Linked DNA regions of Xenopus tropicalis. The protein of the gene in region 3 interacts with the protein of the main gene of each other region in a pairwise test. Links are inferred from orthologs where the notes say so. Each region holds a gene or a part of one and is shown on either strand. Other genes may lie near its edges. The genes, in order: mgat5b, slit1, hoxa1, nell2, ccn3, rgs17 and chrd.1.

The links.
Region 1: the proteins of hoxa1 (region 3) and mgat5b interact in a two-hybrid assay, tested with the Homo sapiens proteins (2 studies listed by BioGRID). The two-hybrid records come from large-scale screens. The link is inferred for Xenopus tropicalis from reciprocal best matches to the Homo sapiens genes HOXA1 and MGAT5B.
Region 2: the proteins of hoxa1 (region 3) and slit1 interact in binary tests that used the Homo sapiens proteins (3 or more experiments, as listed by UniProt). The link is inferred for Xenopus tropicalis from reciprocal best matches to the Homo sapiens genes HOXA1 and SLIT1.
Region 4: the proteins of hoxa1 (region 3) and nell2 interact in binary tests that used the Homo sapiens proteins (3 or more experiments, as listed by UniProt). The link is inferred for Xenopus tropicalis from reciprocal best matches to the Homo sapiens genes HOXA1 and NELL2.
Region 5: the proteins of hoxa1 (region 3) and ccn3 interact in binary tests that used the Homo sapiens proteins (3 or more experiments, as listed by UniProt). The link is inferred for Xenopus tropicalis from reciprocal best matches to the Homo sapiens genes HOXA1 and CCN3.
Region 6: the proteins of hoxa1 (region 3) and rgs17 interact in binary tests that used the Homo sapiens proteins (3 or more experiments, as listed by UniProt). The two-hybrid records come from large-scale screens. The link is inferred for Xenopus tropicalis from reciprocal best matches to the Homo sapiens genes HOXA1 and RGS17.
Region 7: the proteins of hoxa1 (region 3) and chrd.1 interact in binary tests that used the Homo sapiens proteins (3 or more experiments, as listed by UniProt). The link is inferred for Xenopus tropicalis from reciprocal best matches to the Homo sapiens genes HOXA1 and CHRD.

What each region holds. Positions count from the first base shown.
Region 1 is NC_030686.2:45,623,354-45,627,254, forward strand, and holds the end of mgat5b (alpha-1,6-mannosylglycoprotein 6-beta-N-acetylglucosaminyltransferase B), read left to right. Parts: intron 1-878; coding exon 879-953; intron 954-1,632; coding exon 1,633-1,895; intron 1,896-3,326; coding exon 3,327-3,525; 3' UTR 3,526-3,792; downstream 3,793-3,901. UniProt on the Homo sapiens protein: Glycosyltransferase that acts on alpha-linked mannose of N-glycans and O-mannosyl glycans.
Region 2 is NC_030683.2:32,333,522-32,337,422, reverse strand, and holds the end of slit1 (slit homolog 1 protein precursor), read left to right. Parts: intron 1-1,039; coding exon 1,040-1,278; 3' UTR 1,279-3,408; downstream 3,409-3,901. UniProt on the Homo sapiens protein: Thought to act as molecular guidance cue in cellular migration, and function appears to be mediated by interaction with roundabout homolog receptors.
Region 3 is NC_030682.2:42,135,241-42,139,488, reverse strand, and holds hoxa1 (homeobox protein Hox-A1), read left to right. Parts: upstream 1-1,449; 5' UTR 1,450-1,491; coding exon 1,492-2,107; intron 2,108-2,432; coding exon 2,433-2,788; 3' UTR 2,789-3,594; downstream 3,595-4,248. UniProt on the Homo sapiens protein: Sequence-specific transcription factor. Regulates multiple developmental processes including brainstem, inner and outer ear, abducens nerve and cardiovascular development and morphogenesis as well as cognition and behavior.
Region 4 is NC_030679.2:64,114,685-64,119,179, forward strand, and holds the start of nell2 (protein kinase C-binding protein NELL2 precursor), read left to right. Parts: upstream 1-1,613; 5' UTR 1,614-2,236; coding exon 2,237-2,285; intron 2,286-2,589; coding exon 2,590-2,718; intron 2,719-4,495. UniProt on the Homo sapiens protein: Plays multiple roles in neural tissues, regulates neuronal proliferation, survival, differentiation, polarization, as well as axon guidance and synaptic functions.
Region 5 is NC_030682.2:138,162,967-138,167,386, reverse strand, and holds the start of ccn3 (CCN family member 3), read right to left. Parts: upstream 3,078-4,420; 5' UTR 3,037-3,077; coding exon 2,992-3,036; intron 2,014-2,991; coding exon 1,794-2,013; intron 1,118-1,793; coding exon 866-1,117; intron 54-865; coding exon 1-53. UniProt on the Homo sapiens protein: Immediate-early protein playing a role in various cellular processes including proliferation, adhesion, migration, differentiation and survival. Acts by binding to integrins or membrane receptors such as NOTCH1.
Region 6 is NC_030681.2:42,988,620-42,992,528, reverse strand, and holds the end of rgs17 (regulator of G-protein signaling 17), read left to right. Parts: intron 1-2,100; coding exon 2,101-2,289; 3' UTR 2,290-3,156; downstream 3,157-3,909. UniProt on the Homo sapiens protein: Regulates G protein-coupled receptor signaling cascades, including signaling via muscarinic acetylcholine receptor CHRM2 and dopamine receptor DRD2.
Region 7 is NC_030681.2:99,615,879-99,620,465, forward strand, and holds the start of chrd.1 (chordin), read left to right. Parts: upstream 1-1,735; 5' UTR 1,736-2,202; coding exon 2,203-2,326; intron 2,327-4,587. UniProt on the Homo sapiens protein: Dorsalizing factor. Key developmental protein that dorsalizes early vertebrate embryonic tissues by binding to ventralizing TGF-beta family bone morphogenetic proteins (BMPs) and sequestering them in latent complexes.

The DNA.
Region 1 (3,901 bases), on a different chromosome or scaffold from region 3:
CAATAAATAGTGAGTGTCTATGGCACCTTACAGCAGCCCCTCTGGCATTTGCCTGAACCCACAGATTGCCAGTCTGGGCCTGGGTCCTGGCATTCCAAGTACCCAGAGGCCCAAACAGCCCCCCAGCCCAATAAATAGTGGACTATGGCACCTTACAGCAGCCCCCTCTGGCATTTGCCTGAACCCACAGATTGCCAGTCTGGGCCTGGGTCCTGGCATTCCCAGTACCCAGAGGCACAAACAGCCCCCCCAGCCCAATAAATAGTGACTGACTATGGCACCTTACAGCAGCCCCTCTGGCATTTGCCTGAACCCACAGATTGCCAGTCTGGGCCTGGGTCCTGGCATTCCCAGTACCCAGAGGCCCAAACAGCACCCCCAGCCCAATAAATAGTGACTATGGCACCTTACAGCAGCCCCTCTGGCATTTGCCTGAACCCACAGATTGCCAGTCTGGGCCTGGGTCCTGGCATTCCAAGTACCCAGAGGCCCAAACAGCCCCCCAGCCCAATAAATAGTGACTGTCTATGGCACCTTACAGCAGCCCCTCTGGCATTTGCCTGAACCCACAGATTGCCAGTCTGGGCCTGGGTCCTGGCATTCCAAGTACCCAGAGGCCCAAACAGCCCCCCCAGCCCAATAAATAGTGACTATGGCACCTTACAGCAGCCCCTCTGGCATTTGCCTGAACCCACAGATTGCCAGTCTGGGCCTGGGTCCTGGCATTCCCAGTACCCAGAGGCACAAACAGCCCCCCCAGCCCAATAAATAGTGAGTGTCTATGGCACCTTACAGCAGCCCCTCTGGCATTTGCCTGAACCCACAGATTGCCAGTCCGGGCCAGCTCTATAACACACCTAACTCACCATTTCCCATAGGTGGAGCCCTACTTACCGTACGAATACACTAGCGAGGGAATGCTGCAGAGACTCCATGCTTACATTCAGCATCAGGTAAGTGTCTTCTACATTTGATATAGCAGTGAAAGCTGAGAAGAGGGGTTCAGAAATTAAGATGGACCAATGTTTGGATACTGGGGAAGGGTCCCTAGCTCATCAGAGGTTAAAGGCATTTATTTTTAGTTGGGGTCTACAAATAAATGGATTGAAGTTATCCTATCATCTATCTATCTATCTATCATCATCTATCTATCTATCTATCTGTCTCTGCTTGTCGTGATTAGGACATCAGTTTAGTCACATGGCAAGAATCTTATATGCAATTGGCTGCATCAGTTAAGCTGAAGAACTGCTTCCTCTGTGGTGGAGGATGCGCCTTTTGCTAAACCCATTGAGGGCCCCGTGATTTTGTGGTTCTAGCGGCTGTCGTGCCAGCTCTTGGCTTCCCTTAGTGTCAGGCATCTAACACTTCTACAGGGTAATATAATAAATGGCACAGTTTGCCCAGGTGTATTCACCCATAGCAACCAAACATCTGACCTGTAAATGCTACCTGCATATTTGTTGCTATTGGTTACAAGACTAGTAGCAAACTATGCACCTTTTGTTAAATCTCCCCCAGAGTATCTTGCATTTTTCCTTATTTTCCTTTCCACTGCTTTACTGTCCCCTTCTTTTCTCTCTTTCTCCCACATTTCTCCTATTTTTTTCTATTCTGTACATTCCTCCTCAGGAGTTTTGCTCACCCTCTATGTCCTCCCCCTATTCCATAAATGGGTCCCAAGGCCTTCACACCCCTCCCTTGCTCCTCGTTAATCACACACACCTGGTGTGGCCCCCGAACGTACCCCTTCCCCATATCTGGCCCCCAGTCACTTCCATGCAGGTTTGGCTGTCGGAAGAAGGGGAATCCTGCACCAATGCATGCTGGGAGCGCAATCTAGTCTGTGAGCCGAGTTTCTTCATCTTCATCAACCAGCAACGCTTACTAGAGCAGTGAGTATACAATGGCGCTGCCAGGCTGGGTGCCCAGTCTGCGGTCGGCTTGGCTTCTGTAAATTCAATATATCAGGGTTCCCACCTACATATTATGGCAGGCAGGGATAGACGGACATTCTGTTCCCTGTACGTTCCTTTACACCAGCTGTTCTGTGTAGCCAAGACTCAGTTACACAATGATCCAATAAATAATTGATTCAATTGCTCGGATGCCTGAGTATCAAATCTGGATCTTGCTCTGAACACGTACTGCCAGTTTCGAGGCACCATGTAAATTTAATTGGTTTTCCATAAAACAGACAATACGAGTGTAGCTTATTCAGTGCATAGCACTTTCCTTCTCTGTATATTTGTATTTATACATATGGGTAGGAGGTGCCATAGTGTTTCCCTTAGACAGTACAGTATGGGGGTACAGCTTATTGTGTGCCCAGAACATTCCTTCTCTGTATATTTGTATTTATACATATGGGTAGGGGGTGCCATAGTGTTTCCCTTAGACAGTACAGTATAGGGGTACAGCTTATTCAGTGCATAGCACTTTCCTTCTCTGTATATTTGTATTTATACATATGGGTAGGAGGTGCCATAGTGTTTCCCTTAGACAGTACAGTATGGGGGTACAGCTTATTGTGTGCCCAGAACATTCCTTCTCTGTATATTTGTATTTATACATATGGGTAGGGGGTGCCATAGTGTTTCCCTTAGACAGTACAGTATGGGGTACAGCTTATTGTGTGCCCAGAACATTCCTTCTCTGTATATTTGTATTTATACATATGGGTAGGGGGTGCCATAGTGTTTCCCTTAGACAGTACAGTATGGGGGTACAGCTTATTGTGTGCCCAGAACATTCCTTCTCTGTATATTTGTATTTATACATATGGGTAGGAGGTGCCATAGTGTTTCCCTTAGACAGTACAGTATGGGGGTACAGCTTATTGTGTGCCCAGAACATTCCTTCTCTGTATATTTGTATTTATACATATGGGTAGGGGGTGCCATAGTGTTTCCCTTAGACAGTACAGTATGGGGGTACAGCTTATTGTGTGCCCAGAACATTCCTTCTCTGTATATTTGTATTTATACATATGGGTAGGAGGTGCCATAGTGTTTCCCTTAGACAGTACAGTATGGGGGTACAGCTTATTGTGTGCCCAGAACATTCCTTCTCTGTATATTTGTATTTATACATATGGGTAGGGGGTGCCATAGTGTTTCCCTTAGACAGTACAGTATAGGGGTACAGCTTATTGTGTGCCCAGAACATTCCTTCTCTGTATATTTGTATTTATACATATGGGTAGGAGGTGCCATATTGTTACCCTGAAGATGGTGCCAGTAGGACATGATGGTGGCAGCAGCAGCTCTCTTTCCCAGTTGTTGTTAAAATCCAACTCCCAGAGACAACTTTTCTGTTTCCCGTAGGTTGGGTGCTCTGTGTGACAGCACCGAGTCCGTGATGAGCCACCTCTACCCAGCGGTGTCCCTGGCGGTCCGTGAATGTTACCTGCAGAGGGAGCCACTGCTGTTCAGCTGTTCCGGGCATAGTAACAAATTTCGACGACTGTGCCCCTGCAGAGACTATCAGCCTGGACAAGTAGCCTTGTGTCGGGATTGCTCTTGAGCCAAGCACTATGTGCCACTGTCGTACTGCCGACGGCCATCGGAGTGAGCACAGCATGGAAACATTCTGCACCCTTAATAGTTTTCTACTCAATCCCATTAGCTGCTGTGTCCCAGCCCTGGGGTTTTATGCTGCAGCATATGGCAATACTAAGCACTGACCTTACAGGCACATGGTGAACACAAGCCACATCCTTCTGGTGATCCTTCATCTTCCCTTGTTGGCCTCAATGGCTTTCTACAATTAAAAGCACAATGCTTAGGCTGAGCCCCTGAGTGAGGAAGCTCAGTTATTTTGGATATTGGTACTGCCGGCATCAGGCCCGGACTGGCAATCTGTGGGTTCAGGCAAATGCCAGAGGGGCTGCTGTAAGGTG
Region 2 (3,901 bases), on a different chromosome or scaffold from region 3:
CTTTAATTTTGGTAAAAAAAGAAAGCAGTAACTAAAAACAGGATGAATGTGCTTCTCTTGGACTAGACTAAAGGGGTGGGTTGTTCAGTAGAATATGTACACACCCTGAGGCATACCTTCTAAAGACAAATAAGCCACACATGGACACAACTAATAACATTTCATTCATGAAACACTATAACTTAACTGTTGCTTTGTAAATGGCACATTCTTTGGTTTCCTGTCAGATAGTTCCTGCTAAACCTGTTTATTCACATAAAGGGCCAGACTAGATTTGATTTGTAAATAATTGCCTTATGGGGGAAGACTGGAACTGAATTAAAAGATTTTTTTTCTCTCATTGAAGTCATTGTGGGCCAACGTTTTCCCCGGTACTGAAAACCATAGCAACCTACTGGCTGTAAAATTGTTTTGTGGGTTTAATGCAATGCAATGATATCCAGTATCATTGAGAGCCAGTTTGAGTTATTGGACTGGGGGAAAACTTTGGGTATACTACTATAACCCCTTAAATATACAAAGCAGCCACTTCATCATAGCAGCAGGGCTCGAACTAGTGTTAGGGAATAGAGGCAGCCGCCATGGAAAGTGTGTGGGGCTGTGGTCTGGGGTAGCAATTGAAAGGGGGGGTCTGTTATGGTGAGCAGGTATGGGGCAAAAGGTACTTGTTTTGGTGGATTCTGTGGAATCTGGCAAATACTAGAGGGGCTGCTGTAAGATGCCATAGACAGTCACTATTTATTGGGCCTGTGGGGGGTGGTTTGGGCCTCTGTGTACTTGAAATGCCAGGGCCTATTTGCACCCTAGTCCGGGCCTGGTCTTGGGCAACCGTACCTCTTTGCTCTGCATATGATTTTTCTGGTTTGCAAGGCCCCAAAGTCTGTGTGTGTTTGGTCGTAATGTCAGAGAAAAGTTGTTGTTTGGGGCATATTCCCATATAAGAATTTTTGTGTCTGAGCCCATGAATGTCCCCCAATAGATCCTTTCACTCCACTTGTTCCTTAAATCACATCTTTTATCAGTGTATTTTCACTTGTAGAATCGGAATGCCGAGGGGAGCCCGTGCGGGATTATTACCAAGTACAGCGAGGCTATGCCATTTGCCAAACCACACGCACCGTGTCCTGGGTGGAATGCCGTGGTTCCTGCCACAATCAGGGCTGCTGCACTGGATTACGCATGAAGCGCCGGAAGTACACTTTCGAGTGCAGCGACGGATCCTCCTTTGTGGAAGATGTAGAGAAACCCATTAAATGTGGGTGTGCTCAGTGTGTGTAAAACACGTTGAACTGGACTGTACAAGATCACACCAGACAAAAAGAAAATATCCAAGAATAAACCTGGACAATTACATTCTGTAAAACTGGACTTCTGCTCCCCTTTCAGATGCGTGAATATCTTGATGTCTGTGGCATTTAAAAAAAATATATGTATAAACAGCACCTATTGCATTAAGAGGCACACGCACATGCTGACTGGTTGTATAGTGTTGTAATCATTGGAGAAAAGGTATAGAGGAGGTATATATGTAGAGGGTAAAATGTGTAGATAGAGATTTTTTTAAAAAAACACACAAATGTATTTATACACAATGTGGATAGATTTACATGGAACAAGAAGGAAGGTCTGTATTTTATTTTTCCATTTTTTTAAGGTAGATCATTTTGTAACCATTGTGGCAGTATTACATCTGTTTTGTATAGCTCAGAGCGTTCGACAAGTATTCTTTTCTGATCTGTCATTTCTGCTGGGGAAAAAAAAACCCATTGTGACGAGGGGCACATCACTTTCATAAAGCACTTTCTGCTCAGTGAAAAGGGATTGACTAATGTGATTTTATATTTATAAGCCTTTTTTTTCTTCTACCCCTAAATATCATTATCAGCTAGGCTTCCCTATGAGCCAACACAGGAAAATCCGGCTGCAAGTTATAAATATTATATATAAAAATCGTACATACAATTCACTAACAGCAGCAAAGCAGTTTTAAGGGAGATGATAGTAGGGGCAATGTTTAGGGCCTTACAGATGTGGGGGCCCATACAGGTGTTGTGGGTAGGAAGAGAAAGACATGATTTGGGGAATGATAGAAAAGCAAGATGGAAACAACAGGGGTCATTTACTTTTCCCTGGGGCGCAAGTGGAGGGCAAATGCTAGAGTACTTGTTGGGGGGGCAAGTGCTAGAGCACTAAGGGGTGCCAAGACATGCCCTTAGAGTTGCCACCTGGTAGCTAACTGGCTGAGGGGGTAAATCACTAGCTAGGGCCAGCACTGGTAAATTTGTAATACCCTATAAATCCCATCCCTTTCCTCATCATTATCTCCGCTGCTGATCAGTCTTAATTATCACACCCGCCGCCCCCCCCACCCCTCACCCCCTCACCAATGCAGCACTGCTGAATGTAGTCGGCCATGTATTTGCTGGTGTAGCACCACTAATAACACTTGTGTTGCCACACTTGCAGACCTTTAGGCCCACATTACACAAGGCGTTTTTGATCCACTTCCTTCTGCCCCAACATCACTGTTCACTGCCAACCATGGAATCAATCACTTAGTGGACAGACAGTGTCATGGCCGTTGGTGCACATTAGTGTTGTGGTGGGAGAACGCTGATCGGAGTTTTATTCCGGGAGAGAAAACACCTATTGTGAGTTGGCCCTTAGTTTTCAGATGGTTCTGGCAATAGCTGAAGGCCCATCAGACAGACAATACTATTATATAAACAATATACAGTCTGTATTACCCCGGGGCCCCTCTTATACTAAGGGCAGCCCTGCTTAGGGTACTGGCACATGGGGAGATGTCACCTGTGGGCAACAAATCTCCTAAAAATACTTTCCCGTTTACTTACCTTCTTTTGCATTTTCCCGTGATTAGGCCTCATTGCTAAGGCAGCCCGTGGTAGCGCAGATTACTTTGGGTGACAGATCACTCAATGTGCCAGTACCCATAGCATTCCTCACTGTCACTCTATAGAGTAAAGCCTGCTTATATGGACTATTAAAGAAGACCGTAGGGCACTTTGCTAACATTACCTTTCTATTAGCTCCACAAATTCCATGAGAAACAGCATTAAGGAGAGACTAATGGGGCCCTAATGCTAAAGTACTGGTTGGTCTCACAAAATATATCTGACCTTGTTGTTCTATTCACAGGTTTCTATGTTGACAAAATTAAACAGCTTGTGTTCTTTTCAAACAAACTGGGGGGGTCCCTTTTGCAGGCCTCACTTTGTCTAGAGATCAAGGAGAACTGCCCCCCCAGCAAACCAGAATATTTTTTCATTGGTACCATTTAATAAAACTTTTTATATTATTTGTTAATGTTGCAACTTGCCCTTTCAAACAACAAATATTTTAGCATTATTGTCCCTTTAACATTATTAAAATGTAAATTTAATTCTGCTTTTGCTCAAGTGTATTATATATAGAGCTGGCTGGGATGTATTGTGTTTTTCCCTGGCAAAGGGAAACTGAAATACATATTGCTTTATACAAAAGAGCCACTAGTAACATTCATACAGGTGAGTAATGGTGACAGAGTGTATCCAAACTAAACAAAAAGGAAGTTATACTTTAGCGAGGGAATGGGACATGTAACAATGCGGCCACAATGTGCACCAATCACACAAGCGTCTGACATAGTTATAGCTTTCTGTACAATCCTGACCTATAACATTGTTCCATAAATATCATTAGGATTACCACCTGTCTGTTTCGACCTGGACAGTCTTGTTTTTGGGAGGGCTGTCTGGGTCAAAACTGCCTGCCCAATTTAGGAAATCCAGACAGGACTCTATTAGATTGATGCAGCATCGGCCAATTGCCGGTAGCAATATCATAACCCCGCCCCTAAAGACACCAGCCCCACCTATTACATCACTTGCTCCGCCCCATT
Region 3 (4,248 bases):
TTAAGAATGCAACAGCCACTGCAAGTATAATGAATAATCTAGCAAAGACACAGAATAGAATGTTTACACGTGGGAGTGTGTGCAGGTCTGTGTAAATGTGACCGGGATTAACCCTTTGCTACCTGACAATCTACAATGTTACTACAGCCCTGTGCACTAAAATATGAAGTACAATCAACATTGTGACCACACATTTTTGACAGGACTATGCACATACAATAATCTTTGTCCAGATGATTTTGCTGTAGTGCCCAAGGGATTATTGTACAACCAAAGGAGAAGAAGCCAGAGCTTTCCATGACAAACTCGTTATTACCATGGTAATATTGACTGTTCTATCCTCTGTACTAAAGAAGTGAGGCGTGGCTGCTAGTGACCAGCTGTACATATAGAGCCTGCCTATGCTTTGCTCTGGCATTGAATGGGTTAAGGAAGATTCCCAGATATAGTGTAAAAATGCACGGTGTGATCAGTCGGACAAGTGTAGAGCAAATCAATGAGAGGATCAATCAGTCTTCAAAGACCAGCAATAAATGTAGAACTACACTTATGCATAGACACACACAAAGCTGAACCCTACCTATGTGCATGTTTGTTCATTTTTGTGTACAGTGCAATTGTCCGATATTGTGTACTATCTATCTATCTATCATCATCTATCTACCTATCTGTAATTATCTATCTCTATCTAGTGTCTGCCTGTCTGCCTCTCTATCTACAAGATACACTTATCCAAAACAGGAATGCATGGACACACACAAAGCTGAACTACAGGTATCTGCATATTTGTTCCTATTCCGTGTACACTGCAATTGTCCTATATTGTCTTACATACACTGTCTATCTATCTATCTATCTATCTATCTATCTATCTATCTATCTATATCTATCTATCTATCATCTATCTATCTATCTATCTATCTATCTATCTATCTATCTATCTATCTATCTATATATCATCTATCTATCTATCTATCTATCTATCTATCTATCATCTATCATCTATCTAAAACAGAAATGCTTAGACTCACACCCACTACACACTACAGTGTCTCTCACTAATACCCATACCTGTGTATTTTTAGACACCCACTGACACACAGTTGTATCCCCAAATCCCCCTGACCAATCACTATTTGCTCCTTACCGGGTTAGGGGGTTCTTCGGGTGCCCCCGGCTCTGACATCTGCACTGTGGCGGTTCCCGGGTAGAGAGGACTGTGCGACTTGGCCGCTGCTCTCTCAGTGCACTGTACTCCCAGCCGTGTGCGTCACCTGGATAGAGCAGCGCCTGGAATTTAAATGCAAGTGTAGGGCCGATCCATCACCAGTTAGTGTAGGCAAACTTTATCTGTCGCTGCTGCCATTGGCTGGCCTCTCCACGTGACCTGCCCTCACTGTACATTCATATGATTTTGTGCTGGACCTATGGAGGAAGTGAGAAAGTTGGCACGGCCACGCCAGGCTCTGTGTCACAGTCACCTAGTGATAGATGGACTATGCGAGGATGAGCTCCTTCCTAGAGTACCCGGGCTTAATGAGCGGCGACCTCGGGACCTGCTCCTCCAGATCCTTCCACCCCGACCATGGAATTACAACTTTCCAGTCGTGCGCAGTCAGTGCTAATAACTGCAACAGCGATGATCGTTTTGTGGTCGGACGAGGGGTGCAGATAAGTTCTCACCCCCATCACCACCACCACCAAGCCGGTGCCTTTCAGCACCACAACAACCTGGGGATGTCTTATACTCATACCAGCTGTGGCTCCAACTATGGCATGCAGAACTTCAGCCCCGGCTACTCTCATTTCCCCATCAATCAAGAGGCAGATGTGAGCGCAGGGTTCCCCCAATCTGTCTACTCCGGCAACATCGCTTCGTCTGTGGTCCAGCATCACCAACACCAGTCTTACATCGAAGGATCCGCTCACTATATCCACCATTCCTACGGACCTGACCAGAACATTTCTGTGGCCAATTACAATAACAATGTATCCAGCCTACATATCAGCCAGAGAGAAGTTTGCCGGTCTCCTTCCAGCGAAACATCCCCGGGCCCTGCACAGACCTTTGACTGGATGAAAGTAAAGAGAAACCCACCCAAAACAGGTAATGTCTACCCTTTCTACACCCACTTACTCTATTAAGGCGCCCTTGTTTTATCAAGTAAATCTTTATCTATCATCTATCTATCTATCTATCTATCTATCTATCTATCTATCTATCTATCTATCATCATGATCATGATCTATTATTCTTTATGTTGATGTTGCCCTATAAGTTAGTGGGTGGGGGTACAAATGGAATGTAACAGTTTGTGACTGTATAATACAGTCAGTAACGGTAGAAAAGGCACCCCCATAACACTGGGGTTGTTGGCTGCTACATTTCTCACATTCCATATGGATTATAACCCTGACTTTTTTTATTTCAGGTAAAGCTGGGGAATATGGCTTTGCCGGCCAGCCCAACACAGCCAGGACCAACTTCACCACCAAACAGCTGACAGAACTAGAGAAAGAATTTCATTTCAACAAGTACTTGACCAGGGCCCGCAGGGTAGAAATTGCTGCTGCTCTACAGCTCAATGAGACCCAAGTAAAAATCTGGTTCCAGAACAGGAGGATGAAACAGAAAAAAAGGGAAAAAGAAGGACTTCTCCCCATCTCCCCATCAGCCAGTACAGGAAGCGATGAAAAGTCAGAGGAGCTGTCAGAAAAGTCCAATTCTTCACCCTGTGCTCCATCTCCTGCCTCCTCTACTTCAGATCATCTCAGTACTTCCGGTTAGAAGGCTGAAGGCATTGCCTGTGCTCGATTGATCAACCAAAGCCTTAGCAGTGATTTTAGTTGTCTATTGTTTATGCCAGAATTTCAGCTGGTACCATTAAGATTATATTTTTGCACAAGTTTGAAAAGTCATTTTCGTTTTGAGCTAAAATACCCAAGTTAACTAAAACCTGTTTTGGCATGTGTCACACTAACTGTCTCTTGCTATGAGCTGCTATGGACAATCCATATGAGGGACATTCCTGCTGGGACTTTTTACTGGGAAATCACTGGTTGCAGATCCTCAAGGACTGATGCACTACTAATAGAGAAAAAGTTTACACAAGTTAAAAGACTTCTATTTAATTTAAAGTTCTATGGTGTCTGTATGTGAAAAGAGTGTACATATATTGTTCCAGAGATTTATCTTTCAAGTGTTTTTGTAGAAATTCTAATAATTATCAGATGGTGGAGTGGTTGGAAGAATCTCAAAGTTTTCTAGCACAGGAAAAGACAGCAGTGTTTGCTGACCGCATACCTCAGTAATCTCTCACATTTACTAGGTGTTTACAGTCATGATTTTAGGTGAATATTGTGTGTTTTGTTTGTCAGGAAATCGTGCTAGATCGTCCAGTATCCAGGGTATTTATCCAAACAAAACCACTCGTTCTCTGATCCAAGAGAAACGCTTCTAAATCGCCTTTAAGTGAATGTCTTGTAAGACCAAATGTGTGTATAATTTGTGATTCCATCGCGAACCCTTGCATGACACCGAATGTAAACTGAGTTTTATCAGTTGGAATTTGTCAATAAAACATTTGTATGCTACCTCTGACTAAACTAGTGTGCATTTTATTGGGCAGCATGTAAAAGGTTAAAGAATTTCCATCAAAACCAGGAGGTCTTGTAGATGAGGGTCCCAGGGCAAAAAAGTTGTAATTCATAATCACAACAAACGCAAAAATTGCGTCTCCCGGCAGAGCGAATTTAACTCTTTGCGCCAACGTTTCGTTTTTATTCGTTTTGCGCCATTTTTATGGGTTCTCCACTATCTCCTGTCTAACAACTGTAGAAACACCTTGGGTCAAGCTCAGCTGAACTTTTCACCCCAAACTCACTACTGACATGTGTAAACACTGGTGCCTGACAAAAATGCCAGACGCTTCTTCAACCAGTCTTTCCTCACCTCCTCCCCTATAAACACAAAGCTTCACATCTTTGGGAGGCTCGAGGGATATATTTTCAGTTTCTCATCCCACCCCCTCAATAATAAGAACATTATTCTGAAATCTATCTAATCCCCTGTCGTAAAGTACTTATTAAATTATTACTGTACTTGTTAGTGCATTGCGATGTGACGCTGGAACGAATTAGTAAATTGCAGAATTTGCGGGCAGAATGACGCTGATACTAATGGCGCTATTTAAAGTGGATGCAGCTAAACTTCAAAGTAAATGCAGAACTTTCTTTCATTCTTCCACT
Region 4 (4,495 bases), on a different chromosome or scaffold from region 3:
CTAATAACAATACATCGTATCTATAACTGACTCAAAATATAGCTACCTGACTCTGTGCTGCAATGGTATCTTATAGCATGTTCCCAGGCTGAGATATGTACCTGGCTCTGCTCAATGGAATCTTCCAGCCTGTGCCCAGGTTGAGATATGTACCTGGCTCTGTGCTGCAATGGTTTCTTCCAGCCTGTGCAGAGATTGAGATATGTACCTGGCTCTGTGCTGCAATGGTATCTTATGGCCTGTGCCCAGGATGAGATATGCACCTGGCTCTGTGCAATGGTATTTTATGGCCTGTGCCCAGGTTGAGATATGTACCTGGCTCTGTGCTGCAATGGTTTCTTCCAGCCTGTGCAGATGTTGAGATATGTACCTGGCTCTGTGCTGCAATGGTTTCTTCCAGCCTGTACCCAGGTTGAGATATGTACCTGGCTCTGTGCTGCAATGGTTTCTTCCTGCCTGTGCCAAGATTCAGATATGTACCTGCCTCTGTGCTGCAATGGTATCTTCCAGTGGGAGGACACTGGGGGGGAGCTGGAGGATGTTGGGGAAGATGCTGGGAAGGACACTGGGGGGAGCTGGAGGATGCTGGGTGGGATGCTGAGGGGGGAGCTGGAGGATGCTGGGGGGAGCTGGAGGATGTTGGGGAGGATGCTTAGGTGAGCTGGAGGATGTTGTGGGTAGCTGGAGGATGTTGGAGAGGATGCTGGAGGGGAGCTGGATGATGCTGGGGACGAGCTGGAGGATGCTGGGACGAGCTGGAGGATGTTGGGGAGGATGCTGGGGGGAGCTCAAGAATGCTGGAGGGGAGGTGGAGGATGCTGGGGAGGGGAGCTGAGGATGCTAGGGGGGAGCGGGAGGAAGCAGTGGGGGAGCAGGAGGCAGCAGGGAGTGGGCCATAACATGAGGACACTGGAGGAGGACCAGCAATGTTTTAGGGGGACCCTGGCTACCAGTGTTTTATGGGAGGCCCCTGGCTACCAATGTACCGATTATCGTACAATTTTTTTCCGTACAATAATATCGGAGCATATATGGTCACCTTTAGACTGCCCATTTTTGTAGCCCAAAAGTTAAAACAATAAGGCAGGGAGTTTTTTTTTTTCGTTTAAGTTAATAATATGCTGATTTTCCAGAAGCTTTTACTAATGTACTGATCTATATAATTTTCTAACCTCATCCCCCCAAACCTTTATTATTTTCCTAAAACAAAATTGTATTCATTATAAAAGCAAATTAGTGTAAATCAGTTGGGAAAGTATGAGTTTATTGCAGAAAAATGAAATGTGCGGGGAGAATTAACAGTAGAAATGTGGATTAAAACATATACTTATTCAGTCATCACTGCAGATAAGCCTAAATACAGTGGATTACATGTTTAGTGGGGAAGCCCTGTAGTTAAACAGTAGAACTGAGAGCAATGATGTCAGCCTTGCTAAGGAGGATATACCTGTATATTTCATGAGGCTAAAATACTTCTCCATTAGGATGATCTGGAAACACATGGTATGTGGGACTGGGAAGAGAACTGAAGCACAAAGCTAAATCATATTGATAGTGCTCCACTAATCTTAATGTTCCCGTCTCCAGCCCCAGTCAGTACTGCGCATTCAGCTCTTTCCTAAACGAGCTTAAAAAGAACAGGGCAACGCGGCGCCTGGCACACCTAGTAATGTGAAGGGATGCCCATTTGTACCAATAAGCCCAGTCATTCACCCACCCCCATGCCAATCACTAGAGGACACAACCTGTGCCGCTGAGCAGTCGGATTCTGCCTGCAAAAACGCTCAGATCAGCTGCTGGAAGGGGCGCTTGTTCACTCCCTCAGAGAAAAGGGACAGTGGAGCCTGTGCCTCCCCCTCCCTCCTGAATCCCTGGAGTAGCAATTAGTGTGGCTCTCCGAGCAGCTCCGGCGGAGAGGAATATCCATTGTCTCTAACAGGTTCGGAGCGAGGATTTCCCTGTTCCCCAGATTCCCCTTTGCAGGCAGATCGTTCCCGAGTCCCCGAGTCCCTGCTGTGGGGTGGGTAGGGGTCGGACCGAGGCTGCCGCCGGGCACTTATTGGGCAGCCCTGCCTAGCTGGGTGCTGCTGGAGCTAATGATGCTAGCGCTGGGGATTCCAAGTTGCTGGCTCATCCGCTGGCTGCCTGTGCTGTTCTAGGAGGGAGCCCGGCACTCACAGCAGCGCTACACTAGCAGCAGGCACGGAGATTATGGACTAAGTGCATCGGTGCCAGAATGGAGTTTATATTGGGCATATTCTGCGTTATTTTCTGTCTCAGAGCAGGTAAGAGCTCTCCTTCTTTCCTTAGAAAGTTAAAGCCATCAGCTTTCTTTGCTGAGCTTACATTAGGGATGAAACTGATAGGAAAGGGGATGAGATTGGAATTTGAAGTTGAACATGTAAGTTTCTTGGGTATTGATTGATAAAGTAGGTCATATCAGTACCCTGAAGTGGATTCAGGTAACTGCAGTTATATTAGGTACCTAAACCGTTGAAAGATTAGATAGATAGATAGATAGATAGATAGATAGATAGATAGAATCCAATCTCACTCCCAGTAAATGGTGGTGCTATCTTTCTTGGCCAGGTGCAGGCTTTGGTGTGGACCCCTCCCTGCAGATAGACATCTTCGAGGACTTCCAACTGGGAGAGGCCACCCCTGGAGTGCAGCAGGTTCAAGGATTCCATAACCGGAGCAAAGCCTTCCTTTTTCAAGGTATTCCTTAGGGAACACTAAATCCTCTGTCTGTTACTAACCTCCTAGCATCCCATCCATCTGCAATATATGTCTTTCTGAGGGTGCAGGGATTTTAATTGTTCAACAACAGCTGGAGGGCCTCAAACAGCTGGACATGCCTGCTTTGGTTGGCCTTTGTCTGGCTATATATATATATATATATATATATATACACTGATAACTCATTACTGAGCATCTTTGTTCTCTCTGCCTGTTTGCTTCATCTCCCTCTTTCATAATTTGTGAAAATTGGATCTTTTTTTAATGAGGACCAGTTTAAAATGAAATAATGTGATGGTCAGATTGTGTAAAGTGCATAAGGGTATGTTTACAACAGAAATTATTGTGACACAGTGGAGAGGGGGTTTGCATGAACTAGAATTCCTTTTACAGTTTGGCAGAATCCCAGCATTTTTTTTTGCAAGATTCAGCAAAACCAAAAATGAAAGTCATTAAGGGACTTTATTGCTCTGGCCAAAGCAAGACTTCAAGTTTGCTCACATAATCTGTAGGTGACACAGATTTATGTTTTCATTGTTTGGGGCAATGGTCCAGATCTAAAAATAATAGATCTAGCACATCCTTCTGAAGTATGGCAACCAGTGGACAGATGTGCAGTGGTCCTTGTGGTACCGATTAGTATTGTTCAGGGCTGTGCAGTGGGGGTAGTGGTCAGGCTTTATCATACTCCTGTGTGCAAGAGGAACATTTGAGCAAATGAAGTGTTTGTGATCACAATTATTTCTAACTTTACAATTAGGGGATTGGTGACTTGCAGCTGAGCTGCTGAGCAGATGATCCTCCTTAGATTTGAGCTTTCTCCACTTAGTGTCAGTGTTCTTTTGCTAGAGGTTTGCTTTCCCACTGATTGATGGCCCCGTAATTAATGTACACCAGGACTAAGGCTGGCAGATGGTTGATTTGAGTCTGGGGATGCAATGAATAATAACACACGCTACCCTGATCAGCCAGAGAGATTAATGCTGCTGGGAACCTGTGACTTATGGAAAAAAAAAAAAAGATGGGTTACCGAAAGTTTCATCCTGTGTGCACAGAAAGGGAAAATCTGAAAATAATTCTGAAATAAAAGCGCTATTACAGTCCTAAAAGGGTAGTTAGCCTTAAAATTAATTGTAATATAGTGTAGACAATACTGTTCTAACATGATGTGCAATTAGTCCGTTTTTTGCGTTTTTCTTTTGTTTTGCAGCTTTCGTGCTTACCATTAAGATTGCTTTCTTGTTGCCAGGGCCATATTACCCTAATTATATTAAAGCTGAAGACTCAAGATCAATCTGTTTTTGCATTCTGGGGTCAGTGACCCTACAAGATTTATAACAGTTATAGTTGCATGCTAGAAGGAAGCAGATTAGAAACATACAATAAAAAAAATAAGACCAACTGAATAATTCTTTAGATTAGGTTCCTGTATAGCATATTAAGACTTAAGGTGAACCTTAACTTTGCATCCCGGATTTTGTCTAAACTGAAAAAACTATAACAATGAATACAACAGGCCCAGAAACATTTTTATGCAAGGTGAGCGTATGTTACATCCCTGTGTGCTGTAGGTACCCTGGACAAACATTAACGGTGTAGATTTAGGATTGTATTGCATTCCCTCAGTATGGGCTAAAATATCTTCCTCTGCAGCCCCACATTAGCATTTGTTCTTTTCAACATTTCTTTGTACAGACAAAAACTCCCAATATGTGTCCCTGCACAATGTATGTTGGTTGACATGGCTGTTGTGGTG
Region 5 (4,420 bases), about 96 Mb from region 3:
GCACGTGAACATGTCCGAGGCATCGATCCCGAGAGTGGCCTCTGGTCTGTAGGCTGTATGGAACACAAATATCATTAGGTAAAGCAGCACTGGGTCGGCAGATGGAGCCAGGAATAAATGGGCATTTAGCTCTTCATATTTCCATTAGGCAAACCCACAGGGAAGATAAAAAGTGAAGGTATTCTGGCCCTGACGTATACAAACATGGAGTTAAAACATTTAGCCAGGACTAGGACAAGGAATTTCATAGAACTGGGACCAGGCTTCATCAGATTTTTGGTCTTTTACCCACTGTCTACATTTATAATGTCTCACCCACAATAAGCCTGGTGCTACAAAATGCACCCCCCCCCCATGGAGTGACCATTTGATTGGCTGGTTTGAAGGTCCTAGGACTTTGCATAATGAACAAATGTTTTTTTTACATTTCAAAACAGCCCAGCATTAGGGCTCATTTACAACAGCTGCACCAAACACAATTTATATCTAATTCACCAATATGGTGCAAAACCTGGTGCAGGTTAGGTGAATTATTAGTTGCAGGGGTGCCAAGGTGGGTGTCCTTAAGTTTGCTGTATAAATTAGAGAGGTTCTGTGAGACCCACTTGGCGCCTATAGGTGCAATATACAAAGGGAACCCCGAGTTACTGCCCATTCAGGTGTAAATGAAAGGGCTCCCTTGTGCCAGGCTGCACTGTGCCTTGATCCCCAACATTGTCTTTAGCCGCCCCCTAACACCATTCCTTCAGTATAAGGGCAACAAAGGGCAATGGTGCCTAAACCCCTTGGGATGGGGCAGACCCATATTTTTTGGGAAATAGTGACACCACTTTGTGTTACAAATAAGAAAAGATGCGAGACTCACCGGCCATGGCAAAGCCACCGATCGCCATCTCCTCTTTGGAATCACAAACCCACTTCTCGCAGCATTCGCCGGGCACCTTCACCCTCCTTGGGAAAGGGCAGTCGGGGCCAGGGAGCATCAAGTCGAGGTTACAGCGGGGCACGCAGCCAATGTGGCCGTTCAGGCAAGTACAATGGTATTTACAGCTGGGCTGGAAGGTCGCTCTGTTGCGATACACCACCCCATCAAAGATGCAGTTGTTGCCTTCCAGAGCTGATTTATAAGCAGAGAAACAAGCGCTTACTGAGAGGATAAACAGGGACAGACAGTGCATTCAGTTTCCCCCATGCCTGGGGTATAGTTTGATCCCAATATATACACTGTCTGTGCACCCTGTACCTCTCATGTGTATACATGGAAATATACAGAGAAGGCTTATTCTGTGCACATAGGCCCTGATATTCTATAGTTTAGCTAAGGGGAAATCCATTAGTGCTAACCCTATTCCAGGTATATATTCTCTTTATTAACCTGGCCACATGTTATAACATGGTATGACACGTTCCCACACCTTGTGTCTCAACCCTTTCTCCTTGTAGATTGTAAGCTCTTTTGGGCAGGGCTCTCTTCACCTCTTGTATCGGTTATTGATTGCTTTATATGTTACTCTGTATGTCCAATGTATGAAACCCACTTATTGTACAGCGCTGCAGGATATGTTGGTGCTTTACTTGTAGATTGTAAGCTCTTTTGGTCAGGGCCCTCTTCACCTCTTGTATCGGTTATCGATTGATTTATATGTTACTCTGTATGTCCAATGTATGAAACCCACTTATTGTACAGCGCTGCGGCATATGTTGGTGCTTTATAAATAAATGTTAATAATAAAAATAATAATATTAAAGTAGCAGAGTTTTCCCAGGCTTGTTGCCCATTGTGCCCAGCTTACCCATGCAGATGCCAGCCTCTGTCCTCGGGTCTGCATTGAATTCACAGTAAAGCCCTTTGTCCTCTTGGCAGGGGTGCATCTCAGAGCAGCTCTCTCCCTCCTGCCGGGCACACACTGGGCAGCAGGCACAACCATCTAGTACGAGTGGCACGGAGGGGGCGCAGCTGGGTGGTTCCTCAGGACACTGGTCACACTGGGACGGGCATCTCTGTGACGCCACCTGTACAATTCCATGAAACACAAATAAATAATATGCATAACAGCTGACCTGTAACGCTCAAGCTCTAATAGGATAAACTGTCATTGGGTACCAGAATCCCAGGGAGCAAATCAGCCTTGGCTTTGTGTTCTTTAAAGGGGAAATTCACCTAAATAACTTATTTGGGTCTTACAGGAGTAGGAAGTTATAAGGAGTTATATTTAAAAGCTGCTTCCCCTTGCCTTGCCCTTTGATGGGGGCCTGCAAACTGGTTGTTCATAAAAATGCCCCTGGCACAAGGGCAATCTGGTACCCCCCCGACACAATATTGGCACGGTTGGGTGATCTACAGGCTTCAGGGCAGTGTGTGCTCACTGTAAGCTCTTGAGTTGGAGGCAGTGCTAATATAGAGGTGCTGCCCATCAGAGCTGGCAGTGCCCCACAACAACAGCTGCCAACATAGAGAGACTACTCCTCTGCCAGGTCCAACAGGCTTGCAGTACTCAATGAAACAGTAAGTGGCTATGGTCAGGGGAGAGACATTATATGTTATAGGGTGGTGCCTCTCCTTCCACTTTAATTTTGAGTTGAGAGAACAGGTTTAGTTCCCCTTCAAACCCAGGTAGCAGTTTCAGGCTGAGAGACATATTACAAATATAAATCATTAAAAAATACAAAGAACCAAAGTACTAATTAACCAAGAGCAAAACAACTGTCTGTGCCTTCCTGCACTCCTGGTTCTGACTCTTGAAGTTATGATGCAGAAGTCAGTTCTCCTCCAGGTCTGCTACATTGTTTCAGCAGTCAGAACCAGCAATGCAGCGACTACAAACTGCCAGGCAGATACTGTGCAATTACATTGGCATAAAAATGCAAAACCACTGAAAATATTTCATTAACTTCAGAAAGTTGCTTAGAATTCCATGTTCTTAATGCAAAGATCCCCATTAAAAGGAACATGCAAGCTCATATAGAGAAAAGCAATAAAATGGCACTTACTTGTTGTAGGAGGAGGATGAAGCAGAGAGCCAGGCAGGGAGTCATGATTGCCAGAGCAGTGGTACAAGCAGGGAACTTCCACTCACTGTCAGTTTGTGTGAATGACACTCAGTGGCTCTGCCTGCCCATATATAGACTGGCTGCTAATCCTGCAGAAACCCTATTGGCTGAGGCTCCGGAACTGGGCGGTACCAAGTACATTTCTGCGGAGCTCATGGACCCAGCGTTTCCATTTGAGAGGTAATTGCGCTCAGTGGCCGCTAGATGGCGACATAACCCTCACCTGCTGAATGGTATTTGCGCTGCATTCATGGAAAGCGATTGCAGCCAAATAGCAGAGGAATTCTGTCTGTGATCATGAAAGCATTTTGTGTCAGAGGAACCAATTAGTCATGTACGTATGAGGAATGCAGCCCCAGACGTCTAGCAAAGTCTGAAGGGGATACACAGCCACAATGTGTACTGATGTCAGCTCTGCGGCCAGCTCTTACTGTAACCTTTATTCCTAAGCAAATGGACTGGCCAGGCTGCCCAACAAACCCTAGGGTGATATCTGCCTCGGCATGGTTTTCCCTGTATTAACCCTTTAGATTGTAAGCTCTTGTTAGTAGGGCCCTCTAGTCCTATTCTTAAGGTCCCCATACACGGGCCGATAGTAGCTGCTGATATGGGTCCCTTAGACAGAATCGGCAGCTTATCGGCCTGTGTAGGGGCAGGAACGAGGGGCATGCCCGACCAATATCTGCCTGAAATTGGCCAGATATCGATTGGCCAGGTTAAAAGATTTAGTCGGATCGGGGACCGTATCGGTTCATTGATGCGGTCCCGAACCAAGTGTGCCCATTGCTCCCTTTATAATTCAATTGTTTCGCCTACATTTTCCCAATATTGCCCACCCGTAGGTGGGGATATCGGGAGAAGATCCGGCGATCTTAACAAGAGATGTAGCGAACCATTCGCCGGCGAACTAATTGGCACGAACATCGGGTGTTCGCAAGTTTGGAAGTTCGCAAACTTTTCGCGATGTTCGCAATTTGGGTTCGCCTTAGGCGTTTTTCCGCTGCGTTAAAAAGCCTGACAAACAAATGCACCTCCTTGGCCTCCTGATCCCTTACTCACTGCAGATGATAAAACAATGCCAATTGCCCCATATTGTACAAATGAATAAACTTCCTATTCACAGCAAAGCCCAAGTCTGATTATTGCCCAAAAACATTCACAGGTTCTGGCAACTCATGTCATGGTGATCTAAACACCTAGCCCTGGATTTGTGGGAAGGCCACCAAGTAGTGTTGCCATCTTTTGTCAATGTTCTTACCAGTCAGGGTGGGGGCTGGGTCCATAATGGGGCGGTTCCTTGATGTCAGGGCAGGATTGTGATCTAATTGGGGGGCAGGGCATGATGGTGGACCACATTTAAGGGGATATA
Region 6 (3,909 bases), on a different chromosome or scaffold from region 3:
TATATAGCAGAAGTTCTGACTTTTTGGAAACATCTGCATTTATAATTGAAAAGTTCTCTGAGAAGCACTATGAATATCATGTGTAGGCTGAGGTTTCCTTTGAAACCAGCCTAAAATGTTTGACTTTGAACCAGGACCACATTAGTCACATTTGCTTTTTAAGGATCTCAGTTAGAGGTCATTATATCTATACTTGGACATGTTCCTTTTCCTCTCTATGTTTTCTTATAAGAGAAAATAATAAGCACCAGAGAAATTAAAACAATAGATGATCAGACACTGTCCAATCACCTTGTCTTTTATAACTGTGAGTAAGCAACACAGCACCGTGAGATACACAAGGGTGTATAGCAGAGGTAGAGAAAGACTTTATTACCTCACCAGGGACCCAGAAAATGCAGAGATTAAGGAGAAATTTCCGTTTGATCTGGGTTAAGGGAAATGTAGACGGCATGGAATATTATGACTTCATAAGTGATAAATATGATTTTGTTTTATTTAAAAAAGCAGTACATTTTATAGCATGGCCAAAAGCCAGCCCATGTATATATATCTTTTATGCTCTTGGCAGTGTGTCAATATGCCATGAAGCTGACTTACACATTTCTTTTAAAGTTCTCTTATCTTTTCACTAAACTAAAATATCCCCAAGCATATCAAAATACTTTTATAGAGTAATAAAAAAACAAGTAGTAATCGAAAAACTTTGATACAAAGCCTATCTGCTATATGTTTAGGAAATGGAAGAGTAACTATGGTGTTATGCTGGGAAGGTGGAAAGCAATGTCCTAAGCAAAAAAAATTGAACATTTGGCTGAATTTAGTGTTAATCAAGAAGGGATTGTCATTACAAAAGTGTTTTCCTACCAATGATTATTAGAATAACCAGCATGAACAATTGGAATCAAAGACATTGGAATCAAACCTGTTGGTTATAGCAAGCCTTGCTAAAATAAAATGATCCAGTTGGGAAAGTCAGAAAACATGAGTTTATTTTGCATAAGATTGTCAGGTTTATCAAAAATGTTAAGTTCGACTTTTTCTAAGGTTTTTTTTCCAATTCGTAAAAATGTAAAATCTCAAGTCTGTGCTCCTTTAGTAAAACACTTGAATCTTAAAAAATGTGGAAATTGTGAAAAAAAAAAAACTGGAACGTGGTAAAATCACATTCTACTAAATTCTGAATTAGTCTTGAAAACTTTAATTGAAAAATAGCTTGCTAATACAATTCCTAATGACTTTTATTTTTGAGTTTTTGTGCATAATAAATTTCGAAAATTCACGCTTCAGGACCTCGAATTTGTGATTTTTGCCCCAAAAAATAGGATTGCAGTAAAAAGTCAAATTCAGGTGCTCCTTAGACTCTTTTGTAATAAAGGCAAACAGAATATTTGCAAATGTGCCTGCAAACACAAATAAATGGCTACATTCTTGCACCAAAAGTATTCTATCCATAATTCAGTTTTTACACTGTCTTTAGGGAAAAGGCATAAGAACAGGTTTCCATTTGTAAATGATGACTTTATGCTATGTGAGAAATCTTGGAAATCATTTTTATTTAGTCTTATGACACACAGGGTGTTTTATTGGATAGACGTCTTTAAGCCAATATTGTTACAGACATTAAACTAAGGGGAAGCTTTATAAACATTCAAATTCAAGTTTTTATTGCAATTTAAGATTTTTGCAACAAAAACATAAATTCAAATTTGGGTTTCCAAAACTTGATGCTCAAAAACACAAACAGAAAAAGAAGCTTGTGAGTTCATGTAGACGTCAATGGGAGTTGGAGCAAACTTATTTGAGTTTTTGAGATTCATTTAAAATGTGGCACATTAAAAGGTATTATGGGATTTAGCATTTTTTCATGGTTTTATATCAAGTTTTTGAAATTCCATTTTTTAATATATTAGCACACATTCAAGCTTTTTGAGTTTTCCTGAATTAGGAAAAAAAACTCAAAAATTTGATTTGTGAACAGTTGGCCTTCCCATGTACTGATATTGCCATGAAAACACGGAAAAGGAAAACAAAATACTATACATGCCCAGTGAAACTGTACACTAGCAATCAATAACTTGCTCATTTTCATGCCTACAGGTCAGCCTCGACTCTAGAGTGCGTGAAGTGATCAACCGGAATTTGCTGGATCCTACCCCCCATATGTACGAAGATGCCCAGCTTCAGATCTATACATTGATGCACAGAGACTCTTTTCCAAGGTTTTTGAACTCACAAGTCTATAAGTCTCTTCTTGAAAGTACAGAAGGCTCAATCACTGAATCTTAGCTAAAACCTCTGGATAACATATCTTGTTTTCTTAACAGAACACATATGTAGTTTATTACCATCAGACACTGAGTTCCTGGAGAACTCCACTTGTGCACTACTCAGGCTACTGTGAAGAATAACTTTAAAAATTGTTTGGTCTCCGTCTCCATTTTTACAAGCTCTTCATCTTTGAGTTTGAAAAACAGCAACACTGGAATTGCCACATTTGTTTTCTATGCTATTTACTTGAGTATATCATTACAATGATATATTGGGTGGACTATGAACAGACTCCTTGTTTTATTTCATGTTGCATGTGCAAGGGTAATAGCTGTCCTCAACACACCAATTCATTGTTGCAATATATAGCCAATTGCATTAACGACGTAGTTACTGACATTTTATGTGCAATACAGTATTATGTTCAAATATTGAAATGAAACTTTGGCTTGATTTGTATTCCTTCAGATGGGCATTTTAGGATAATCCAATTTTCAATTAGATGGTGTTTTACAGTGGTATAAAGAGTGGATACTAACAAGCCAATACACAAACAAGCAAAGCTAATTATCCTTGTGTGGAGGAAATTAAAGTGGAATTTCCACGGATGTTCACTGCCAAACTGTGGCTCTCTTATATTTTTATTAATGAGTTTGCAATGTCAAATAAGCACAAGCAATCTAAAGGATACCTTGTATGGATGACCAAATATTTCAGCTGATATTGTTTATTGTTCTAGCAAAAAAAAAAAAACATATTTATGTACATTGTAAATGTAAGTAAAACTGGGCGACCGGTTTTAACATTGTTGTCTAGCATTATGTATTTCAGCAAAAAAAATAAAATAAAAATATTTATACTTTAATATTTCAAGAAAAATAGAAATGAAGATGTTTACCTATATGTAGCATTTGAAAACCTTTTGATGACACAGATGTCTTTTATTATGACTGAATGAGAACTACTTTTTTTTTGACAAAGAAACTTTAACTTTAAAAATAGCTACTTTGAAAATGTTGTAAAATATCAATCCTTCTACACATTTCTAAACATTCTTAGTAACAAGGATCTGTAGAAACCAGCATTACAACCAAACGTTATTCTTCGTATTGCTTTACGGTAGATTTTTTTATGGTTTTTAAATTGCTTTGAGTGTATATATAAAATATATACAGGTGTGGAATCTGTTATCCAGAATGCTCGGGACCTGAGGTTTTCCAGATAAGGGATCTCTCCGTAATTTGGATCTCCATAACTTAAGTATTGAATAAACCCAAAAGGCTTGTTTTGCCTCTAAAGATGAATTATATCTTAGTTGGGATCAAGTACAAGGTACTGTTTTATTATTAAAGAGAAAATAATTATTTGCTTACAATGGAGTCTATGGGAGATGGCCTTTCCGTATTTTGAAACGTTCAGGGTAACAGGTTTCCAGATAAGGGATCCTATACCTGTATATATATATATACATGCACACACACACATACACAACGTATATCTCCATTATCTCTATAAAAAAAGCAAAATTTGTTAAAAAATGATCACATCTTGCCAGATCTAACATCACAGTGACAGTAAAAATGCTTATTAAAGCTTAAACTGCATGATTTTCGGAGCGGCAAATCCAGCCTCACGGTT
Region 7 (4,587 bases), on a different chromosome or scaffold from region 3:
CTTAACGTACATGCAAAAAACAGCAATCATTGTCATCACTTATCTTTCTAGGGTGTGTCCAACCATCTTTAATCTTTAAGGAAGTTGACATCTGGTAAATGGCATATAAGTTACAGTGTTTTCCTGCACATAAGGACAACTTGTGCCTTCTTATTGGAGTTATTCCATGATTCTCTATCATGGCACTAGCACCAATATTAAGTAGCTTCATTACAGAATCAAGATGATCACTTTGCTATATGATAATAATCATATAGAAATAAGAATTTGACCAAACACAAACTGCCATATAAGTACATTTAAAGATACCCTGAATTTTGACTCAGTAGCTCGCAGACTGACTTTGCTTCAGTACCCTAATGGCCACCTACTCTTCAATTCCTACTAACTTCTCAAGCTACAATTAATTATGAATGCTTTAATGTGAATAAAACTAACATGAATTAGCAAATGTTGAATGAAATCTCTGAACTGGACAGATTATGTAATGGAATTGGTTATTTTGCTCCATATTTCCTTGTATTTGGCAACACGTATTTAATAATATATACTATTCAGTAAGGTTTATTGGTTTAAAAAGAGAAAAAGGCATTTTTTACAGTAACAACCAGAAAGAACTTTAATGTATAGTTTAGAGGGGCTGCTCAGGCCTGGTACAGCAACAATATGTGTGTGCTACACTAGCCTGTTTTTTTCACCTCCCTTATTTTTAAGTTGAAGCCCTCACACATACAGTATAATATCCATAAGCACATAAGAGTCTTCCCTATAACTGTTCTTTTAGTCCTTTTTATTACTTATTTTTTATTGCCAGAGCATTTTCTATTTCATATGATCTTTATCTTACATCTCCCTCTCCTGGTTTTCCTTCCCCATGCTTCTGTCCTTTACAGTAAATTCCCTCATCTTTCTGGAATCTTTACAGAATGTTCTGTAGAGCTGTTGCTCTGCCCCTTAACCCATATTGCTTTATTTCTGATTCTCCATTTGCTCAGTTTTCCTCTTATCCAGAATTTCTCTATGTGCTCATCTTGTGCACTAAATCTAAATGTATGTATCACACTCTTCATCCAACTTTTTGTTATCTGTATCACACCCACTTCTGCCCCTCTTGTCCCTTTCAGTAACACTGTCTGCTTTACTTCTCCTACTTGTCAGTCATTCTGCTCTATTTCTCCTTTTTTTGTACTACTCTCTCAGTCTGCTTCACATATGCTTTTCTGTATTACTTTCTCTGCTCCTCTTCTCATTTTCTGTAATTTTATAACTCTCTCCCTCTGCTTCTCTTTTCCCATTACATAACATACTCTCTCTTCTCCACTCTTCACTTTCTTGCAACTATCTCCCTGGGCAACATCCCTTTTTCTGAATCACACTCTCTACTTCAATTCTGACTTTCAATATCACCCCTGATCCACTTCTCCCTCTTTGCATATTCTGCCTGATATCTCCCTCTCTATATTAATATGCCTCCCCTAATACTTCTATCCCCCCATTTTATTTCCATGCCATACTGATTATTCCCCAAATCTTGTCAAATTCTATGTAGCTTTCCCACATGCAATTATCTGCATGTCCCCCACTTCTGTCTCTCTCTCTGTATCCCTCTTTCTCTCCATTTGTGCTCATCCTCTTCCCTCTCTCCTGGGTGGGTCCAGGCTGAGTCAGGATGCTGTGTCTGAGTGTGTCGGGTTAGGGGGTAGTCGAGAGCTCCCGCTGCTCCCCGCTGGGCTATTCAATGCTGTTAAGAGACACTTTCCTTGGGCAGAGACCCCGCTGAGCGACTCATCAACTCCCAGAGTGAGTGCAATATACTTCGGCAAAATTGGAAAGGGGGCCGGGTGGGGGGCTTTGTTTGCTCGCTGTGCCCCCGCCTATAAATCCTGCGCTAGTCCCACTGAGCCATCAGAAGACTCATCGGACACTGGACAGAACTGTCCCCTCCGGACATTGGTACCTGCTGTGCAGAAGTGACTGGTCCGGATAGCAGAGAGCGCTCTATTCACTACTGGAGTGTGTGTGGCGCAGTGTTGCCTGTTGGCACAAGGGAAGGGTACATAGCACATGTACCGGGGATGTGACCCAGAGAGCCAGAGACAAGTAACAGTTTGCTGGGTATAGTGCAGGGCATATACACTAAACGGTCACTATACAATCCTCAACTCTTTGGACTCACTGAGCTTGCTCGGGGCTACCACAAAAATGCTTTGTTCCCCCATCTTACTTCTGTGGACCCTGTGGATTATGGCTGTGGATTGCTCTCGCCCAAAGGTTTTCCTGCCCATTCAGCCTGAACAGGAGCCCCTCCAATCTAAGACACCAGCAGGTGAGTGACAATTGGGTGACGGTAGTTATTGGGGGGCTGCAGTTCTACTGCAGGGAGTACATTGTATTAATTGGGGTTCTTAAACCTCAGTTGTAGCAGCTAGGGCAGTCATCAGTAGTAACCCTAATTTCTTAGGATGCCACATTAGTAGTGCCCAGGGCAGTGATCAGTAGTAACCCTAAATCCTTAGGATGCCACATTAGTAGTGCCCAGGGCAGTGATCAGTAGTAACCCTAAATCCTTAGGATGCCACATTAGTAGTGCCCAGGGCAGTGATCAGTAGTAACCCTAAATCCTTAGGATGCCACATTAGTAGTGCCCAGGGCAGTGATCAGTAGTAACCCTAAATCCTTAGGATGCCACATTAGTAGTGCCCAGGGCAGTGATCAGTAGTATGCCTAAATCCTTAGGATGCCACATTAGTAGTGCCCAGACATATCCATTCGCACAACCTGCCCATCAGCTGCGGTTGTATAGCGGCACCCAGCAGCAGCCTATCTTTATCACACGGTGATGCAGAGATTTGTAGTTAAACAGCAGCAGAAGGGTCGCAGGTTGGACATGCCTGCCATAAAGAGTTACAACAAGAGGTTGGATTCCTCCCAACACGAACGGGAGGTTCAGTAAGTGTCAGTGACCTTGGGGGTCAGGCAGTTTCCCGCTGAAGTTTTGTGAGGAGAAGAAGCAGAGCTGTTATTGGAGCGAAGCAGAGCTTAGAGCAGACTTAGGGAATGTGCTGTCACACTAATCGCTCCCATAGGAAGAGATTTGCTTATTAGTTGCTATGAGGGAATGTTTATGTAACTCAGCCCATTACACAGAGCTCTTCAGCTGCCAGAGTTCTGCTCAGTCATGTCCCAGATGGATATTTGGGGTTCTGGACATGAAACCTCACAGTGTATATCCCCCCCCCCATCAATTGTACACTCAGTGTAACCCCACCAAACTGCCCTTGTCTGCACCACTGCCCTTATCATTCCCTTCTGTTATACAGAAAGGATAGTCAATTTTATAAAAGCAGCAAGGCAATGGCTTTCTTGTTAGTCATACTGTGACTATATATTCTTCCTCATGCTTTCTGCATAGCATGCACTGATTCTCCATCTTGTTCATGTACACTTTTGCCATCATTCATGTTTTCTGTCAGTCTGAGGCCTTCCATTTGTTGTACTACAATTCCCAGCAGCTCCTGAAAACATTTGTAAGGGCAAATTCAAAAGACAATTTTACATTAAATACAGGACACTTCTACACCTTTCCATGCTCCCCCATGCATATTTTTAAGGTGCTCCACAAGTTGTGGTATGGTGGCCAACCTACATGGAAGATTAAATGCTTAACTTAGAAAACATAGATGTCAATTAGCCTTTCCCTGCATGTCACAGGGCATACCCATTTGTTTACAGACTCTTTTTCCCTGGTATGTTCTTAGTAATTTACATGTTACTGATTTATTTTACTCATGTTTTTTCAGTCAGCATGTGTTGATGTTAACATTCCTGTGTGTTCTACCTACAAATTGCATGCATTGAGCAACGTGTGATGTGCAGGTTGCTTTGCGTGCTGTCACACATCTCCTAGTTTCTCCCACATGCTCAAGCAGATGTTCTCAGGGGGCTGATGAATTTGCTTGTTTGTTTCTTTCCAAACTATTGCCTGTTGCTGACATAAGTGTTGCATGTTTTTCTGCAGGCTGTGGCATGTGCATGCTATGTTTGTTTTGCTGTGCATGGTGTTGTAGGGGTTAGTGGGAACTGTTTGTGTGATTCGGTTGGAGCAACATTTTGTTTTTTTGTCTGGTTACGGTACCTCAGAGGCAGCGTCTGGCTCGGGTATAGTCTCTTCACACTCCCAGAACTTCTGCCAGAAATCAGCAAAATACAGAGCGGCCAACAGCTGCACCAACCTCACTTTAATATCTTCCAGAAGGGAGAGGACTTAGCTTAATGCTCTGCATTTTGGGGTTGTTGTATGGGGCCTTCTTTGGCATGTAGACACTATTCTCATTGGATCCAGTCTATATGCTCTTCAGTGGAATCCTTTCACCATTTGCTGGGTTTTGAGGGATCTAATCTTTTTCGTTTCGTTTTGGTTACAATTTATGTAGTTCTCTGAGGAAATAAATGTTAGTTGTGTTACTTAGATGGATCTAAGGATTATTATTATTCATATTGTTATTATATGTTTTCTTCTTTGCAACATTGTTGCTGCATTTGATAATGGAAGGCATGGCTGTTTAACTGGAGGTGGGGAGGTGTAAT